Notamacropus eugenii: one gene and its partner. The protein of the gene in region 1 interacts with the protein of each later gene in a biochemical or structural test. Links are inferred from orthologs where the notes say so. Each region holds a gene or a part of one and is shown on either strand. Other genes may lie near its edges.

Region 1 (9,941 bases):
CCATTGAGATCTCCAGAAATCCCTTCTGATACTTCAAGGGAGGGAGTTAATCCACTCACCCACCTTGGGGAAAGGCTACACTTGTGATTTATAAAGTGAGTAAATGAAACCTATCAGAGCCATCCATATTTGGCCTGCCCCAGCGTGAATATCATGCCATTCAACTATCCCATCGGGAATCAGTGTCTAGCCAGTTTGATCATCTTGCCAACTACCCTGATACATTTGTATACCCCTTCTCTCCCCTCTTCTAGCTTTTTGTCAGGGAATCATCTAGTCAACATTACTCTTGCTACTAGGAAAGTCATGACAATCTAATGCCCTATTACTCTATGCTCCACCCAGAATTCCTATGATTCTGAATCACAGAACAAGTAGACCAGATCTCCCTTCCCTGGCCACCATTTCTCACTCATCCATATCATCTCTGTGTTTTCTGGATCCCTATCCAACTCTACCCTTCCACTGTATCTGTCTTTGCACAAGCACACCTGGAATATTCCCATACCTGGAATATTCTCCTTCTTTGTCTCTGCCTTTTGGAATCAGCAACTTCCTTCGAGCCTTAATCAAATGTGCAAGTCATGTCATCATTTCTCTGATGGCATGCTCTTCTTCAGCACGAAGGACGAATGCGATCCTGTGAGTAGATGCAGTTGACTGAATACTAGCTGGGTACCTCACCCCCTCCTCTCCTGTCTGCCTCTCCCTCCCCTTCCTTCTCCTCTCCAAAGGAAGGTAAATTTGGATGGTCAAAAGTTGCCCAGTTAACCTGGGTTTTACTGCCTCTTTCCTTTCTCCTCTCCTCTCCCCTCCCGTCTCCTTTCCCCTGTCCTGTCCCCTGTCCTCTCCCAATACCTTAAACCTACTACACTCTGGAACTGCGACTCCAAGGGGCCCCTGTCAAGGGCTCTTGGACACCTCCCCCCCCAGCTTTAGAGTGATTATCAATAGTAACTATTGCTGTTTCCCACCCAGCCTGATGTCTTTGTTTTTCTTGACCCCTTTAAAGGGGCCATGCCCTGGCTGCTTCTTAAACAGTCCTATTCAATGAATGGGTGTTGCCTCACCCTATATGAGTACCTGCAAACACCTTGGCCTAAAGGGCCACTCCCACTGCATCCTGGGTCATCTCCAGTCATCCTGATAAATATCAGGTCACTGGATTCAGATGGCTCTAGAGGAGAAGTGAAGCTGGTGACCTGCACAGCCCTCCCTCACTCAAAACAAAGTCAAGTGCAAGTCACATCATCATTTTTCTGATGGCATGGTCTTCTTCGGCAACAAAGTACGAACATGATGATCTTCTGTTTGACTAGTAGAAGGGAACATCACTAAATAGTCATGAATCAGTCCGTAAGCATTTATTAAGCACCTGTTATGTGCCCAACTCTGTGCTAGACACTTGGGAGTACTGACGTAAACCAAGTTTCTTCCCACTAGGAGTTTACATTCTATTGGAAGAAAATAACATGTGTACATGATAAATAAATGTAACATGTAGGAAATAATTTCTGGGGAGAGGCCATGAATCTCCTAAGTTTCATAAGGGAAAATTTAACAGTAGAACATGAGTTTCAGAGGGAAAAATGGGAGGTAAGGAAGAGTAGGAAAGAGACACTGGAGAGAGGGAATGCGATCTGGATGGTTAGGGCAGAGCATTCCAGCAGCAGGCTGTCTTGTCCTTCATGTGGGCAAAGGTAATACTGATTAATTATCAGTCCTTGAGAAAGAAAAGGAAAAGGGAAAAGTGGGGGAAGGATGCGTAAACATCAGGGGAAACGGTCAAAGTACGAATTGGTGAAATCCTGGGGCCAGAAGGCTTATAGAGGGGAGACAGTGGGAAAAGCCTAGAATTCAGAGTCAGAAGAGCCAGGTTCAGATTCTAGCCCTGCCACTTAGGACTCATGTGGCCTTGGATCAGTCATTTAAGTTCTCAGGCTTCAGTTTCCTCCCCCGCAAAATAAAGGGAGTTGGACTAGACCGTGGCCTCCAAGTCTTCTTCCCTCTCCAAATCTATCATCGTGCGACTCCAAGATTCCATATGCGAGCTACTGCCCCACATCCAAGTGAGGTCAGCTCAGGACTTACTCCAGCATTGGATACATTGTATCCTTTGTTTCTGGAAGGCGTCCAGCTCCTCGTTTGAGCTACTTCTCTCACGCACTTGGAGCCTAGCTCCCCTCAACCTGCTGACCCTTAAGGGAAGGGGGGCATCACGTTGGGATCCAGGGCAGACCCAGGACAAGTCCGACCTCCCAGAGCGCAGAGCAGGTGACGTCACCGCGCTGCCTGGCCCTGGACCTGCCCCGTTCTGGGCCTGACTCTCCCGGCTGGACAGTCAGGAAGACTGGACAACTGACTGAATGTTTGGGTGCGGGAGGGAGAAGTCCATCTAGGGGGTGCCAAGGCGAGGGCTGAGAAAAAGCTTCCTAACCCGGAACCCCCTTTCCTCTGGACCCTGTAGGGGCTTCTGGGAGAGTGTCCCCACAGCTGGCCGGCCAGGCTCCGAACCTGCAGCCTCGCAGGAAGGCTCGGCCCCGGCTCCGCCAGGCTCACACATCAGTCACGCGGTCCAGGCCAGGTCAGCCGCGGGCGAGCCGCCGTCCAGTCCGCCGGTTCCACTTTTCAGAATATTTGAACAATTAATTTTGTTTAAAAGGAAGGCAATCAGCCCAGTGCGGAGCGCTGTGCCCATGCCGGTGACTTACGCCCGCCAGGAAAGGCGAGACTTCTGAGCTGAACCGGGCCCGGCTTCCCTCCCTGAGCCGAGCACGCGGCCGGAGGACTGGCTTCGTGCGGGTTATTTTTTCTTCCATAATGAGCGGGGTGGAAGGGTCTTTCTTACGGGACTAACCAAAAAGAAAAAAAAACTCGGGGCCGCGGGGGAGGGGGACGCGCACTGACGTCATTGGGGCCAGCTCGCCCCCGAAGCGCGCGTGCCCTGGACGGCGCGCACGCGCCTGCGTGGGGGCGGGGGGATGGGGGAGGCGCGCCCTCGGTGGCCCGGCTCTCCTGCGGTCCTCCGGCCTCCCCCTACCGGATCCTCTCCCAGCCCTGGGCGGGGACTAGGGCCCAAGGGCGAGCCCCGCCCCTCAGGATGACGTTTCGCGCCGCGCCGCGCCGCGGTGCAGTTTGGGAAAAAGGGGACGGGCCGGGCTCGCTTCCGCCTGGACGGCGATGGCTGATTCCGCGGGTTCCCGGGAGAAGGGCCTTTGGCGAACGAAGAGGCGCTGGTGAAGCGTGGCCTCCCTCCCCACCCCACGGTAAGCGCGGGGCGAGGCCCGGCCGGGCTGCCATGACGGACGTCCACCGGGCCCGGACCCCCACCCCCGGCGCGGACCGGGAGGCAGGAGGGCGGGGCGGGGGCGCCTCGGAGCCGGGACCGGCTGGGGGGAGGTCCGGCGGCGTCCCGGGGCCTTTCCCGCGGCCAGGGCCTCGGGTGCGCGGGGCGGAGACGGCCCGCCTCCTTGGGCCTGGCCCCTCCAGGCTCCGCTCTCAGGTGTGCGGTGGGGGGGGGCCCTCTGGCCCCGGAGTCAGTTAAGGTCGCCCCTCTCGTGGGTCGCCCCCAGCCCCTGCGATGTAGGAGGGAAGCTGCGGAGCCGGAGTCCGGACGGGAGCTCATTCTCTGACCTTGAACACAAGGCGTCCGTCTGCCTCCGCCGGGCCGAAAGCCGCTACCTGAGCCCAGGTCTGCGGGCCCCTCAGCTTGGCGAGGGCAGCCTTTTAAGGGTGCCCAGGACGGCGGCTGAGTCAGTCTAAGGTACCTTGTTTCACGTAGGTCCTCGGGGATGGGTGAAATTGGGAATATTTTGTTCAGAAGTAGGTGATGTCAGGTCTCGGTAACAATCTCTGGAAATGCGCTTGAATTAACGTTGCCAAATTTAATAAGGTCTCCTTACTATGGAAAGAAAAAGCTTTAAGATAATTTTATATTGCTAGTTTTGTAAGGGATAACAAGACTATAGAATGGGATCATATTGTAAGGATGTTATCTTGAACATCATTACCCAAATGATAAGTATGGACTTGACATTGGAAGATAAAGCTCAGCTGTCACTTCAGAGAAGCTTTATATTTACCACATTTTTTCCCACAAAATTGTGCAAGCTTTGTGCTACGTTATAATTTTCTTAATGTGAGAAATACCAGAAGTTGTGTAGAAGCAAACAAACCATGCATTGAAATGTGAAAAGGCATTACTATTAAAATTATGAACTAAGGGAACACATTTCAATGTCTGGATTTGGCTGAAGAGCATTTTATGGGATTCATCTTTTTTTGTGTGTTTAGATGCAGAGCAAAATGTAGTTAAAATTTCTTAACCATAATTTTAGTTGGATGTTAGTGAATGATAATATAAGTTATTCCATGCTACCCTAACAACATTAATGAAAATTGGGTGATGTAAGGAGATAGAACTGTTTCTTAGCTTTAAATTCCTTAAGTTTCTTAACTTTTATTTCCTTAACACAAAGGAGACCCAATAGAGATTTAGTTTTATCCTTTTCCAGAGATCTTATCATTTATGTTAGCTGTAGTGTGTCTCATTTCAATTTTCAATTTTGAGATAATCTAGTCACATCAGAAGTTAAGTAGTGTTACTGAATAAATAGTTTTATGTCTAAGATTATTGCCATAAAAAAGAACATTCTGATGATGGTGGCTTATGTAGTCTACTTTCTAACTGGACATTTTGTGTACAGGATGCATACACAATACTTTTTCTAATTTCCATCCACTGGGTAACTATTGTCAACTCTCAATTTAACCTCGGGCATTATAGACAGCATATTCTACAGCTAATTTGCAAATTACTATTTATCACTTGAAAAAGCTAAGCTTTCTAATAGCTTTAGTGAAAGGAATGGGTCATAATATACATAATGAGGATCAGTTTCAAAGCAGGTTAAAACTTTAAGTTTAATGACAAATGAATCCTTTTCAAAAAGTTGTATAAACCGAATCTTAGTGTATTCTTTTAAATCTTTTTTATTTGGTGGACTTTAGAAAGAATGTGTTTCCTCACTGCAATAAAATTTTTGGTAGAAAAGGAATTATGACTCACTTAATACATTTGATAAGTTTAAAACAGCCCTGAAGTAGTGGATAGAAAGCTAGACTGAGTCAGAAAAAAAACCTGGGTTCAAGCCCTGCTTCTGTTTGTGTCTTTGAGCAAATTACTTAATCTCTCCATGCCCCAGGTAGCTCTGTAAATAATATGTTTAGCAGGTGCTGATCTGCATCAGTGATGAGAGTTTGCTCACGTGGAATCATAAAAAGGAATGAAATCACAGATTCCCCTCCTCCCATTATGCTTAAGTATCTTATTTGCAAGTTAGTCAAATTATCAACTCTTAACTATTATAACTATTATTAACTCTTTGCCACCTTCATGTTCCTTTGCTTCTTCCTGTATGTGTTCCTTTAGCACCTTTAAAGTACTTCAAAAAATTGAGTCACATTGCTTACTTAGTCATTGTTGAAAGCTGTCTCCTGAGTAAATGAACAACTGCCCAGCACTTTTGAACAGAGGTCATGTGAACAGACCCCTGTACTTGAAACCAACAGTTCTTTTTTTATTTCTAGTCATAGTTCCGCATTATAGACATGAGGTGCTGACCAGTTTATGCTTTCATGACACAGACACCAAGACTGAACATTTTACACTTTTTGTATGTTAAGGCCATTACATAATTTTTTAAAAGTCCACCAAACTATGAAGATTGTTTAAAAAAAAAAAGTGGGGCTACACCAGGTGGTTTTATCCACCCATTCTCTTTTTAATCTAGCTTAGGTCCTTTCCATGGTAGTGACATCAAAGTTGATGATGGCCTCCTTAGGGAATATAGTAACCTTTTCTCAGCTCTCCTACTCTTTGACTTCACTGTAGTATTTGACTACCCCCCTCCTTGCAATTCTTTCTTCTCTTAGCTTCTGTAACACTATACTTCTTCCTGCTTTTCTGATTATTCTGAGGCCTGTACTTACTGCTCCTTTTTTTTCCCCCTTCCTCATAATTGGAGTTAGCTCCCAAGATCTGTCCCATTTCTCTCCCCTCTCTCTCTCTTCCTCTTCCCCCCTCTCTCTCTCCCGCTCCCTTTTTCCTCCTATTTTGAGGGTGGGGGGAGCAGCTTGAAAAGCACCCTCAAGTCAACTTTGTAATTCATTAAGACAAATTTAGGAGGGAGAATTAGTTACTGTAATGTCTTAGAGAGGGTTGTTACTAACAGGATCCCCTACAGTGATGTGGTAGCTTCCTATTTTAATTATTCTTGTTAACTAGGTGCAAAACTCTCTTGTTTCTAGCTTCTAGTTGTTGCAGAAATGTTAAGTTCTGTGACCTTTAAGTTCATTTGCTTTGGAAAAAAATCTTTGGGAGCCCTTCTTAGTTAAAGGCTTTTTGTTTAGAGACTAATAATCTCAGAGCTTCAGCCCCTATGCAAGTGACCAGCAAATCTGCATCTCCAGTCCATACCTTGCCTGTGTTTCCATCTTCTACAGACCTCTACTTGAATATCTCCCCATTACATCACACTCAGTATGTCCACAAAAAGCTTATTGTATCAGACACTCCGTAGCCTTTCCCACCTCTGTTCCTGCAATGATTCCATCTACCTGGGACATATCCTTTCAAGTCCTGAAATCTGCTCATCCTTCAAAGCCTGTTAGATCATCCATGAACTTTTCTTTCTGTGGCCCCCTTCTTTCTGCTAGGTATTCTCTTTATCTCTGCTGCGGCAGCAGTTCCTTTTGGTCTGGTATTGTAATTATTTGTACATATCCCCACCCAGTCCAACTAGGTTATAAGCTTCTTGGGGGCAGAAACTACCTTTTCCTTATTCCTGCCTGCACCTTGCTCTCCATAGAAATCATATAAATACATACCAGATTGATTAGCATGTGATTCCCCCTTAAGGACAGAGCCAATCAATAATGCATCATTACTTTGCATCATACATCCTATAGTGCCAGTCAGTCTTGTTTTCTCACTGCTTCTCATATGTGTTATTCATTTCCAATGCCTTTGCTCATCATGTTTCTTTTGTTTTTGGAATGCATTCTTTGCATACCTTAAAGACTATTTTCAAGTCTCTCTTCAGTGTCATTAGACATTTGAATAACTGCTAGTATGTATAGCACTGGGAAGTCAAAAGAAATGTGAAACATAGTTCTTGCTACCAAATGGTATACAATTTAGGAAAGACAGTATAAGGAAGGCAAGTAGATGAAGTGAATGGTGTGAGAAATAAGTATTTAAGTAATCCAAATGAGGGGATAAATACCATAAGAGATGCTGCTCTCAGGAAAGTAATAGAGAGAAGGTTGATCTTGAAATTATCCTCAAAGAGGATATTAAACTATTAAAGTTCTCAGAAAAAGAGAAGAGACCTGGGGGCTGGGGGAGGGGGAGGTGGATGGCTGAAATATGTACGGAAAAGGGCTGGGGATGGTAAGGGAATGAAGCTGCCTCTTACTATTCCAGCCCACACTGATGTCTGCTTTGCCTGAATTCTTGTTCCTGCTTTGATTAGGAACTGTGCAGCAAAACACATCATTATTCTCACTGTATGTTAGTTTGGTTTTAAATGGATTTGAAGTTTCCTGAGGACTTTATCATATATCTCTATCTGTCAGAGGAGCTGGCACATAGCCTGTATTCAAGAAGGCTTTCCACTCTGACGTTCTTGAGATCATCATACTTCGTTTATACCTTAATAAGAATAACTATTCATTTAGAAAACTTCAGTGTTTAGGGCAAAGTTTTATCCTTAGGGATTGAATGTACAAATATGAATATAGTATAGTAGTTTATAGTCTAGTGGGGATTATCATTTAACAAGACTTGAAATGAGAAATTTTTATGGGGTTGGGAAGGAAACTTGGGGACTTTGGACAGCTAAAGTGTAGGAAGAATGCACAGGGTATCTGGGAGGGTAGGAAGAAGAGTCAAGAGGGTAAGAAAGAAAATTTTACCTTCTTCCGAAGTTTTGACTAGGACCTGGGCAATAATGTATATCAGAATTAAAGTTTCATAAAGTTAGGCAGCCAGGTGGCACAGCTGATAGAATGCAGGGCCTGGGGAGAGAAAAACCTGAGTTCAAATGCAGCCTCAGCCACTTACCAGCTGTGTGATCCTGGGTGAGTTAATCTCTACTTTAATTTCCTCATCCATAAAAGGGAGAAAATAATAGCACTTACCTCTTAGGGTTGTAGTGTGTACCAAATGAGATAATGATTGTAAAGCACTTAGCACCATACTTGGCACATAGTAAACACTATTTAAATGTTAAAAAAAAAATCCAGTTCAGCTTTTTCAGTTGAGTTCTGCATCTTCCTATCTAATTCTCTACTCTTCTACTAGAAGAAAAGGAAATGAATGGAGATTCTTTACTATGCATTGAGTATTGAGAGGTAGCATGGTATAATGGAAAGGGTATTAGATGTGAATTCAGGAGAAAAGTGTGGGAGTACATGCCTATAATCCCTACTGCTAAAGAATCAGGGCTTGGCAGAATAGTTACAGTGTCCACACTAAGTTCAGCATTAATATGGTGAGCTCCTAGGAGTTCAGGAGCACCATGTTGTCTAAGGAGGAGTGAGCTGGCACAGGGAAGAAGTAAAAACAGGTCAAAGCTCCTATGCCAGTCAGTAGAGGAATCTGGCCCTTGAATGACTGCTATACCTCTAGCCTGGGAGAATTAGGAGGACCCAGTTTGATTTATAAAATCATTTTTTGAAGATGAGAACTGGGTTTGAGTCCTATGTCTGTTGTTTACCAGGTGTTTGACCATTAGAAGGTTGCTTAACCTGTTGCAACTGGTTCCCATAATTATGCATGTAACTATACCCAGCAATTTTCTCCTAAATGAGTGTTAAAAGGATCAAATGAGAGTGTCTATAAAGCCCTTTGGGGTTTTTTTTAGATATTTATTTACTTTTAGTTTTCAACATTCACTTTTATAAGATTTTGAGTTTTAAATTTTCTCACCCTCCTTCCCCTTCCCAAGATGGCTTGCAATCTGATATAGGCTATATGTGTACAATTATATTAAGCATATTTCCACTCGAACCTAAGGGAAAACTGGGAGAAAGAAAAAACAACAAAAAAAGAGAAAATAGCATGCTTTGATTTGCATTCAGACTCAGTCGTTCTTTCTCTGGAGGTGGATAGCATTTTGCATCGTGAAGTCTTTTGGAATTGTCAGATCATTGCATTGCTGAGAAGAGCCAAGTCTGTCAAAGTTGCTCATCACACAATGTTGCTGTTACTGGATACAATGTTTTCCTGTTTTCTGCTCATTTCTCTCAGCATCAGTTCATGCAAGTCTTACAAAGCCCTTTGTAAACCTTAAGGCACTATGTAAACGTCAGCTATTAATGCTCTATAGATTTTCCCATTGGAGACCTTTAGGATCTTCTGGACTTAACGATGCACAGTGTGGTTGTCAGCTCTACTAGCAGGGAATTTTATTCTTTTCCCATGACATTGATATGTCATAGTTTTTTCAGGCATTCCCCCATTGGTGGGCACCTATTTTATTTTCTGCCATTTGAAAAGTATTGTTATGAGTATATTGGACCTTTATGTCTGTCTGTGACTACCTTGGTATGTATGCCCAGTGATGGATAAGTCTCAAGGTCCAAAGTATAAACAGTTTAATCACTTTTCTTGAGTAATTCGGCATTTAAGTCCAAAATAGCTGGTCTACTTCACAACTGTATCAGAAGGGCATATGTGGCCCCTCTCCAGCACTGAGTTCACATTTTTTTCGTCTTTGCTAATTTACATGGTATGAAGTAAAGCCTCAGATCAGTTTTAATTTGCATTTTTCTTGCTATGAGTGATTTCAAACACATTTTTATTTTTTAAATCTAATCTAGTTTTTTTAAGTTCAGTTTTATTTCATTTTCACATTTACATTGTCTCCTCCTACTCT
Region 2 (9,941 bases), on another chromosome or scaffold:
AACAGTGGATGACCATTTCCAAGGGGCAACATTTTCTAGGGATAATGAAGGCTTCCCTTTTGTCAATAACTACCAACCTTCTCAGGTTAAATATCTATTTTAAAGACAATTTTATTCAATATAATTTAAACTCTCCTAATAAGGCCACTACCACACAAAATAAATTGGAATTTTATAATACTTGTAAGAAAGCAAAATATCGCAAAAGACTGACTCCTTCTCCAAGCCAGCTAGAAACAATTAAAACACAGTTAAGAACAAAAGATGTTATCTAGTTCAGTGCTTCTCATCTTGTGGTAAATGAGAGAAGTAAATTGTTTCAAACTCAATAATTACTGAAAGTTTTAGTTGTAACTAACCAAATTTCTAGAAAAAAAATTTAAAAACACATACATTTAAATATTTAAAAGTTTAATTCAAACATTCATATTAAGAATGGTTCCCCAAAAAACATGTTAGAGATTTTTTAATTATCTGACAGACTTTTCTAAGCAAGAACTTTCAATTTTATGTTACAAAGGTACATAAAGTGGTAAGGGGTGGGAGGGAATGTTTTATAAAATGTCTTATAATTTTTCATCAGTTTTTAACACATTCTGCTTTACTGTGTCTATAAGGAATAGAAGTGGTACTTATCCTAATGGTCATTTAAACCCTACAATGGAATGCTTCAGGGTAACTGAAACTTAGTAAGGCCTATTTTAATGGGCCTTTCTGTTGTTGGGTATCATGGGCTAAAGGCCACACCGCAATGGCAAAAGAAAAATAAATTATGGATGGAAGTTTTTTCAGAAAAATACTGTAGGAAAAAGACTATCCAATTATCCTCCCAAAGTACTCCACAAATACATCAAGTTACTTTCATCTAGAAAATATTGCTAAGTACTCTAAAGAAGATTCTGGAGATTCTAGGTGGACAAAGTGAAACTAGATGCAAAAGAACGTAGAAAATCAAGGGAATTGCTAATGCTAAACTTAGGGCCATAACAGGAGTTTTTCCACACAGCAGGCCATTCAATAAATAGTGAACATTTGGAAGCAGGAAAAAAAGAGAAATTGAAATGGCATTACCTACGAGTGATGTGAATAAACAAACACTAAAATTTTATAAGTAAAGGAGGGAATAAAACAAACTAAATGAGATAAGTAAAGATCCTAAACTGGGAGAAGCTATACATCTCTCAGAATGAGGAATGATATAATTTATGCATGTGTAATCATTTGATATTGAGGTAAAAGAAAGTTAGGATTAACAGTCATTGAATAATGCAGTCTGTTGAATTATATAATACAAAGCATAATGGCTAGCACTCCTTTAACAGAATCTATTTATTTTACTACCTAGAATGCTTATGGCCTTGTTCCGCTATTGTAGGAAAGGAGTCCTGAAGCGTCCTCCATCTAGCCCAATGAGAATGCTACGATCTTCTATTTATACTACTTTGTTCTACTCTTGCCACCCCCAAATCTGACTATGCTAGAAGAGCATACTCTCTGAATTTAAACTCTGTTAAAGAAAAGCTATCTCATATTTTTAAAAAATTTATGTATTTTTTACATATAACATATAGCAAAACTGGAATAATATAAGTATTGTCTGTACTCTATTAAATTCTAAATAGATAAGATAAACTAAATATCTTAAGGGAGTCATTAAAGAATTTGGGGGTATCAGTATGTTTTTTAGGGTGTTTGGGGGAAGATTGTGTATGTTTAATTTCTCTGATAAGGGGGAGACATGAAATAATCATTTTCAGCACACAACTGTTATTAACCATTTTGGAATAACACTGTTTCAAGCACTCAAATTAAACAAGAACCATCCAGAATATCAACATATTAGTCCACAAAAAATATGAGCAATGGTCAAAGGTTATGCCTTATAAATTCTACATTTGGCACCTCCCTCCCCTCTGAAATGCTGTGATCGGGTTTATAAAACCTCCAGTTGTTTGGGCACAAGGTTTTTGAATTGCAAATAGAATATGAGCTAAATTTTGCTGACATGAGAAAATATTGACAGCTGGTGACTAAGGTCAGGATATAAGTAATTATCAAACACTTAGCAAAAGGAGCAAGTTTATCTAGCTGGAGTGAATGGAGAAAAGGAAGGGAAATGGAAGTTGAAGAGCAAAAACAAACAAAACTCAATGAAAACAAATGGAAGAGAAAATAAGATACAGATGTACTGAGAGGGAGAAGAAACAAGGGAAAAGGGAACTGCTGGGAATTTTAAGTATGACAAAGTTATTTTTCTTCAGTCATACAGAATCCTTAAGCATGGCAGTCTAGAATAATGGAAATAACAGCTGACATTTTATAGTGCTTTCATGTTTACAAAGCACTTTAAAGACATTATGTTTGTAAAATAGGAATATCTTTAGTACTTACTGTTATTTTAAAAAACAAGCAGATGTTGCAATGAAGGTGTATACTATGTATGTAACTTACCAAATTACTATATATTTAACCTGGGAAGACTTTCTGAAGGAAGATTTGAAAATATGAGAGACCGTATACAACCGAACTAAAGAGAAGTGGTTTAAAACGATGACACTAGAAAAAAGTCTTAAAGCCAGATAATCTCAACTGCTTTGTTGAGCCTATTTGTTTTAAATTAAAATGAAGTAGAGTATAAAAATCAGTTAGGTACTAATAAAAATGTAGAGGACAAGATAACCACAAAAACAAATCTTTTTCTATGCTTGTAAGGACACACAGAACTTCATGTATTTATCTTACTAAACACTGATCCTACTCTCCAGGTACAGAAGATTTCACACAGGGCTCTAAGAAGATAACACTGCCTCCTTCCTTTTAGACTGATGCCATCCATGGAAATCAACTTCATATCCTCATCTCCATTCCTAGATAATACCAGCTTACATTATAATTTTAACATTTTCAAATTGCTTTAGATAAGAAATATGCAATATTAGTAATTATTTCCCCCTTTTTTTGAATTAAAGCATTTGTGATAGGGGTGGGGAACCTGTGGCCTTGAAGCCACATATGGTCCTTGGGTGTGGCCTTTTGACTGAGTCCAAGTTTTACAGAACAAATTCTTTTATTAAAGGGCCACACTTAAGGACCTAGAGGGCCACAACCTAGCAGCCCTGACCTGGGCCTGAGTCTTGTATGCTACCTGATACATGTCAGCTTCTCTGATTGGAGGGTGGGGCCATGAACTCCTGACCCCCATTTAAGGAAGTAGCTCAGCTCAGATCATCTCATTTCTCACCAGGTTGCATTTCTCAAGGACTTCTCTGACTTTTCCAACATGACCCCAAAGTTGGGTACTTTCCCACTCTCTCTCCCTGCTTTTCAGGTTCTTTTTTGTGTGCAGTCTCCCCCCAAAGGGCTGTAAGCTCCTTGAGGACAGACTCTTGTTTTTGTATTCCCAGCTTTTAGTAGCGTCTGGCACACAGAAAGCATTAGTAAATTGGTGACTGAAAAAACTAACAAGAAACCTTTTGCTAGATCTCATTTCCTCAAACTAAGCTCTATAGCAATCACTATCTCCCAGGTCCCTCATTGCCTGAGCTTCTTTACAACCTCTTACCTCAAACTTCAATCCCCAACATTCTACTGAAACAATTCTCTACTAAGTCACCAAGAAAGCCTATGGATTGTGTAATATTTCACAACTCTTCCCCTCCTTGAAATCTGATTCTCCTCTAACTTTCCAGTCTTGTAACATTACTGAACTCAGAAGCCTTCTAATCCAATTCCTTACTTTTATTGATAAGGAAAAAAAAAGGCCCAGAGATGTTAATGACATGCCCATGGGCACACAGATGGCACAGAGGTGAGACTAGAACCTAGATTCTCTGATACCATCTCATTCTACTTCACTTCATAGATCCTAAGGGCAGACAAATTACTCATCTCTCTCGTCCTGCCCTCTCCTCTCATTTTTCAAATATTGTAGATTTTCTTCCCCTTGTTCAGAAATTCCTCCTACCACAATTCCACCTGAGAAATTATTCTCAGTCTTTAAAGTCCACCAAAGGTGTCCCCATTTCTATGAAGTGATCTTTCTCAGATTTCTTAGTATCTCAACCTGCTTTACCACATTCTATTCTGATTCACTTTGTGTACCTATTTCCCTTGAAAGTTCCTTGAGGGCAGGGGATGTGCTGCTTTTCCATTTCTGCTGTCACAAGTGCTGTCACAGTGCTTTGCACGTAGGATCAGAGATCAGAACTGGAAGAGGCCACCTCCGGCTTTACAGATGAAGAAAGTAAAGCTCAGAAAGAATAAGGAACTTTCCCAGAGAACTAGAAAGAAAGAGTGACTTGCCCAAAGTCACAAAGTAGTAAGCCCCAGACTCCATATTTGGGGTCCTCTGACTAAATCTGGCTTTCCTTTCATTACACCCGTAAGGCGGGCTTAATTATTAATTAATAACTAATTAATAAGAGGGGCTGATTGAGGTCAGGAAATCTGTTGCAACCACAAACCAGCTGGATGACACCGGATGAGTCACTGAACCTCTACACCCCTCTTACTCATTTGCAACATCCTACCTATGTCACAGGATTGTTGCAATGGCTGAGAACAGATAACTTGAAAGAGCCGCAAAATAAACTCACAAGCAGCGTAAACGTTCACGACTCTGACGAGCTATAAACAATTATTTGGTTTTCAAAGAAGAAAATCTTAATTACTAAAACAAATACATAATTATGAAATTCTACGCGGCTCAGGCATGCTTTCAGTCACTTTGGGGGATATTCTATTATGTAGTTTTTAGTCATCCAATCAACCAGCATTTATTAAGCTCCTACTACATGCCACTGTGATAAGCGGCAGGGACACAAAGAAAGTAAAGAACAACAAATCAAGCTCTGCCTTCGAGAGACGACGTGCAAACTTCGTATGAACGAGATCCAGTACAGAGGATGAATTTCGGATACCAAAGACACGTACACTGAGGAGATCCTGAATGCGAGATGTTACAGGAGAGGTTTGAAGGAAGCCGGGGCAGAGATGAGGAGAGAGCATCCCAGTCATCGGGGGACTGGGAGAGCAAGTGTCTCGTGTCAGGAATTCCTCAAGGTCCAGATAAATACTTCATGTTTTTTTTGGCTGTTCCACGAATATGTAAGAACAGTCTAGCTCCAGTTCCCCCCCCCACCCCCCAGATGCATTCTATTAAAACCCACACTCCGGAGAAGACTGAAGGTCTCCAGACCCGACGGACCCCCTACCCTGGGACGGTCAGGGGTCTGCTCCTTCGTCGCCTCTCCACGATATTCTAGAGACAACGTGGTTCTCGCTGCTGTGGACCCGGGTCAGGGCACAGGGAAAGGCAGCAGAGGAGCTTCCACTCCACGCCCGAGGGGGCCAGGCTGGCCCCCCAGGGGTTGTCTAGGATAGTGCCCCACCCCCAGGGAGAGGAAGGGCAGCCAAGAAGCGGCCCAAAGAGACGCCGCCGCCGCCCCTGCTCACCCCGGCCGCGTCTCCGGGGGAACAGCCCTTGTGGCCCACGGCCTGGCCCGGCAACTCACCAACATCCTGCTCAAAAGGATTAGGCGTAAACAAAGGCATCTTGCCGCAACCCGGTCCGCTCCAGGTGAGGCGCGATAAGGGCGGCAGTGGCGGCGGCGACAATTCCTAACCCCTCTCCTCGACCCAGCGGCCGCCGCTTCCTGGACGGTCCTCCGGCCCAGCCTCAGCACTTCCGCAAATGCAGCTGCCCCTGCTCGTGCCTGAGTCCAAGGGGCCGAGACCTCCTCCCGAGCCTCCTGAGCTATGCCTTCCCTTGGCTATACTCAGAGAGGCTGTCAGCGTTCTTCTCCGCTTCCTTTTCCCTAAGCAGGCCCAAAGGAGGGCAACTACCTGAACTCCAGTGTCACGCGGCCTTCAGGCGTTAGCTCCAACCACCTTCCGATCTCGAGGACCCCTTCCGGAATAGGGACCTTCGAGGACCGGAAGTTGTGACAGGAGCCTGGAAGCTGAGCGTCAGGTTGGCTAGAGTCCGGCACAAAGGCCGATGGGTGGCAGCAGGGGGCGCCCGTGCCCAGGCTTTTCCACAAGGGTCCTGCGCCTTCCCGGCAACCTTCCAGGGAAGCAGCAGTCCTTAAGCGCATAAAACAACACAGCCCAGCATTTCATTATTACTCAGCCTCCTCCGTAGGCCCTGGGTTCTCTGGAAATGGGGGTGATCTCCAGTCGTGGTTTTCCCGGCGTGATGGATGTAGTGGGAAGAGCTGTGGACTAATGAGACCTAGGTTCAAATCATGGTGTTAACATTTGACTCACTGTGTGATATGTTAATATTTTGAAGTCTCCGGTTCTTCCCCCGTGAAATAATGGAATACCACTTAATTTGCAGGGTCGAGAGAAAAGCGATAGGTAGGTGTACCCGGCTGGTTTGGGATCGAACTTCTCCAGGCTAGAGGTGTATCTTCCAGGACTTGCCGAGAAGGCTTGTGGGAAATGTAGTCCAGGACTGTTTGTCTGGGCGCTCCGCACGCCCTGAGCGGGGAGGTTCCGCCGGCTGCGGCAGGTTTTGAGGGGGAGTGCTGATTGTTCTGGTATTTAAAGGGAGAAGAAGGAACAAACGCCGAGCAGGGGATTTCGGTGGCAGTCCGTAAAGAGAAAGGCGCTCCAGCAGGCATGTTGCAGGGCGAGTCTAGACACTGGGAAGGTGACCTCGAGGGGCAGCGAAGGTGATGGGGCCCCAAGCCCTGGAGCTGCCTCCGCTTTCAGCGGCCGGGATGGGACCGTCGGAGGCCGCTGACCAATGAATTCATGATTAAAGCTTTCTTATGAAGCCACGCGGGCACTGGGCATGCAGAGAAAAGCAAAGGAGCTTTTGGGGGAGACACGGAATACTGGGGGAGACCACATGCACAGTTACGTACAAACAAGCTAGATGCAGGATCAATCGGAATCACTGAAAGAAGACGTTGGTATTAAGGAACACCGGGGAAGACTTCTTATAAAAGGTGGGATTTTAGCTGAGACTTGAAGGAAAAAGGACAGAAAGGAGGAGGGAGGGGCCCGAGGAACCACCAGGGACATGTGGGAGATGGAGAACTGTGTCAGGAGCAGCAGCATTTTACGTTTGATCCAGGAGGTCATAGTGAACCTCGGGGTTGTTAGGGGTCTGCTGAGACCTGCGCTTGAGGAAGATCCCTAGACTTAGGCAGGGAGACCACCCAGAAGGTTATTGCCATAATCTAGCTGTGGCAGTGAAGTGAGGGAAAAGGGAAGAGGGCATGTAGAAGAAGCTAGAATCAGCAGGGGTTGGTGACAGTCTGGATGGAGAATGAGGAGTTGAAAATGACACCTTCTCACCTTGTAGTGAGAATGGTGGTACCCTTGACAGTAAAGAGAAAAATGTGGGAAGGTTTGGGAAAAGAAGAGAATGGGTTCCTTTGGGACATGTCGACTCTAAGATGGCTGTGGGACCTCCAGTTCAAGATGTTCAATGGCCAATCAAGAAATGTAAGAACAGAGGTTAGAAAGGTTAGGTCTGAAGAAAGAGAGAGAATCATCTATGTAGAGATAATATTTGAATCCATGGAAGCTGATTAGATTTGCAAGAGAAATAGTATAAAGGAAGGAAATGACCCAGGACAGAGACCTGGGTAATATCCGCAGTTAGTGGCCATGATCTGGATAAAGATCCAGCAAAGGAAACTAAGAGGAAGCAGTCAGATTGGTAAGAAGAAACTCAGGGAAGTGAAGTATGTTTTCCTCAGAAGCCAGTAGGCTCTCCCATTGAATTCAAAGGACCTTGCCCACTCTTGAATGAGAGATAGAGCAGACTAAGGAAAAATCATGACCACTAAGGAGGAAACGGGAAAAAATGGTGCAGCATACATTTGGAAGATGGGGAGCTAGCTAAAGTGAAATTTTTTCTGATTATAGCACCAATGGGATATTCACAGCACCTACAGTGGCCATGAATATCCAGCACAATTCTGAATCACAAAATACAACAGAATCTCCGCATGGAAGACAGAACCAAAACATTTATTTAGACCACCAGAAAGTCCAATTCATCATAGTAAGAAAAATCTACACACAATAACAATGCAGAGGACAATACCATCCCCAAGCCTCCCCCCTGCTAGGTTTCCCACAAACTAGTTCCTTTAAACAAATCATGAACAAGCTCTCTCACTCACACTAGCCAGGTGCCTGCTTACCTCCATCCTTCCTGGCTCTGACTGCTCTGACCAAATTTTCTCTTAGCTCTACTCTAGCTCTGCCTCTTCCTTTCCCACTCTTTCCACTTTACCCCTTCCTGTTCCATGTGACTTGACTCATGTGACTGAGGCTTCCATGTGACTTAAGCAGGTCACATGGGCCTATTAATGGATGGGAAAGATCTTCTCATTACGAAGCAAAATTACGTTAACAATAAGCAAAAATGTATTATCGATACACTGGTTTACCTCTGATACTAACCACCCTAGTTCTGCACAAATTCTAATATTTGTAAACCTTAAAATCCTATACACTCCTAAGATCTGTGTTTGTCCTTCGTTTTTGAAGAAGATCATGACATCAGAGAAGTGATGACATAACTTGCACTTGACTTTGCTTTGAGTGAAGGAGGGCTATGTAAGGTCACCAGTCTCACTTCTCTTCCTGAGCCATCTGGATCCAGTGATCAAATATTCATCAGGATGACTGGAGATGACCCAGGATATAATGGGAGACCTTGGCCTTTTTAGGCTTGCCTTTTCAGGTGCTCATTTAGAGAGAGGTAACACCCATTGAGTGAATAGGCCTCTTTAAGAAGTAGTCAGGGAATGGCCTTTTTAATGAACAAAAGAAAAAATAACTAAATCATACGGGCTGTCATGGCATGGCCTCTAGGAACCCAGGATCACCTCCACAATTTGAGAAGGCATCAGGTAGAACCTTTCTGGAACTATAAAAATTTCAAAGGAAGGAAGGATTTATTAAGCACCCTCTGTGTGCTAGGCACCATGCCATGTGGTCTACAAATATCTCATCTGATCCTCTCAACAATACTAGGAGATAGGTGCTATTGACATATAGCTATTGTTATTACATAGCTATTTTTATATAACTTTTGTCATTCTCAGATGCCTACCTGTTCCACATTCAACTCTTGCCTGGTGTACCTTACTATACATATCAATAACTGTACCCTTAGGTTGGCACAGGGCACATTTCATTTTTCCAAAACTACTTCACACATACTAAAGATTGAATTGGAGGACAACCTCCAAAGACCATGAGTAGAATGGGCTAATAGCAGAGATTCTTAACATTTTTTATGTTAAGTACTCTTTGATAGTTCAGTGAAACCTCTAGATCCCCTCTTAGAATGATGTTTTTAAATAACTGAAGGAAATAGTGAATGTTTTTTAATTTTTTAAAATTAACTCATCTATTTTTAGTTTTCACCAGACACTTCCACAAGATTTTTTGAGTTCCAAATTTTCTCCCCATCTCTTCCCTCCACCCACTGCAAGACAGCATACATTTCAATTAGCCCCCCAATCTGCCCTCCTTTCTATCACACCCCTCCCTTCTTTTATCCCCATCTCCTCTATTTTCTTGTAGGACAAGATAGATTTCTATACCCCATTGCCTGAATATCTTATTTCCCAGTTGCATGTAAAAACTTTAACATTCATTTTTAAAACTGTTGCAGCTTCTCTCCCTCCCTCCCCACCCATCCCCACGGAGAAGGCAAGCAATTCAATATAGGTTATCCATGTGTAGTTATGCAAAACACTTCTATAACAGTCATATTGTGAAAGACTAACTATATTTCCCTCCATTCTATCCTGCCTCCTGTTTATTTTTTATCTCTTTTGGCCCTATCCCTCCTCAAAAGCGTTTACTTCTAATTACTCCCTCCTTCCATTTTTCCTCCCTTCTATCATCTCACCTACCTCCTGCTTATCCCCTTCCCCCCTACTTTCCTGTAGTGTAAGATAGAT

The links.
Region 2: the proteins of USP8 (region 1) and STAM2 form a complex in vitro, tested with the Homo sapiens proteins (3 studies listed by BioGRID, with this or other methods). The link is inferred for Notamacropus eugenii from reciprocal best matches to the Homo sapiens genes USP8 and STAM2.

Annotation. Positions count from the first base shown.
Region 1 is NC_092878.1:2,603,938-2,613,878, reverse strand, and holds the start of USP8 (ubiquitin carboxyl-terminal hydrolase 8), read left to right. Parts: upstream 1-3,105; 5' UTR 3,106-3,266; intron 3,267-9,941. UniProt on the Homo sapiens protein: Hydrolase that can remove conjugated ubiquitin from proteins and therefore plays an important regulatory role at the level of protein turnover by preventing degradation. Converts both 'Lys-48' an 'Lys-63'-linked ubiquitin chains.
Region 2 is NC_092876.1:209,398,657-209,408,597, forward strand, and holds the start of STAM2 (signal transducing adapter molecule 2), read right to left. Parts: upstream 5,645-9,941; 5' UTR 5,554-5,644; coding exon 5,514-5,553; intron 5,321-5,513; exon of another isoform or gene 5,214-5,320; intron 5,120-5,213; exon of another isoform or gene 4,933-5,119; intron 1-4,932.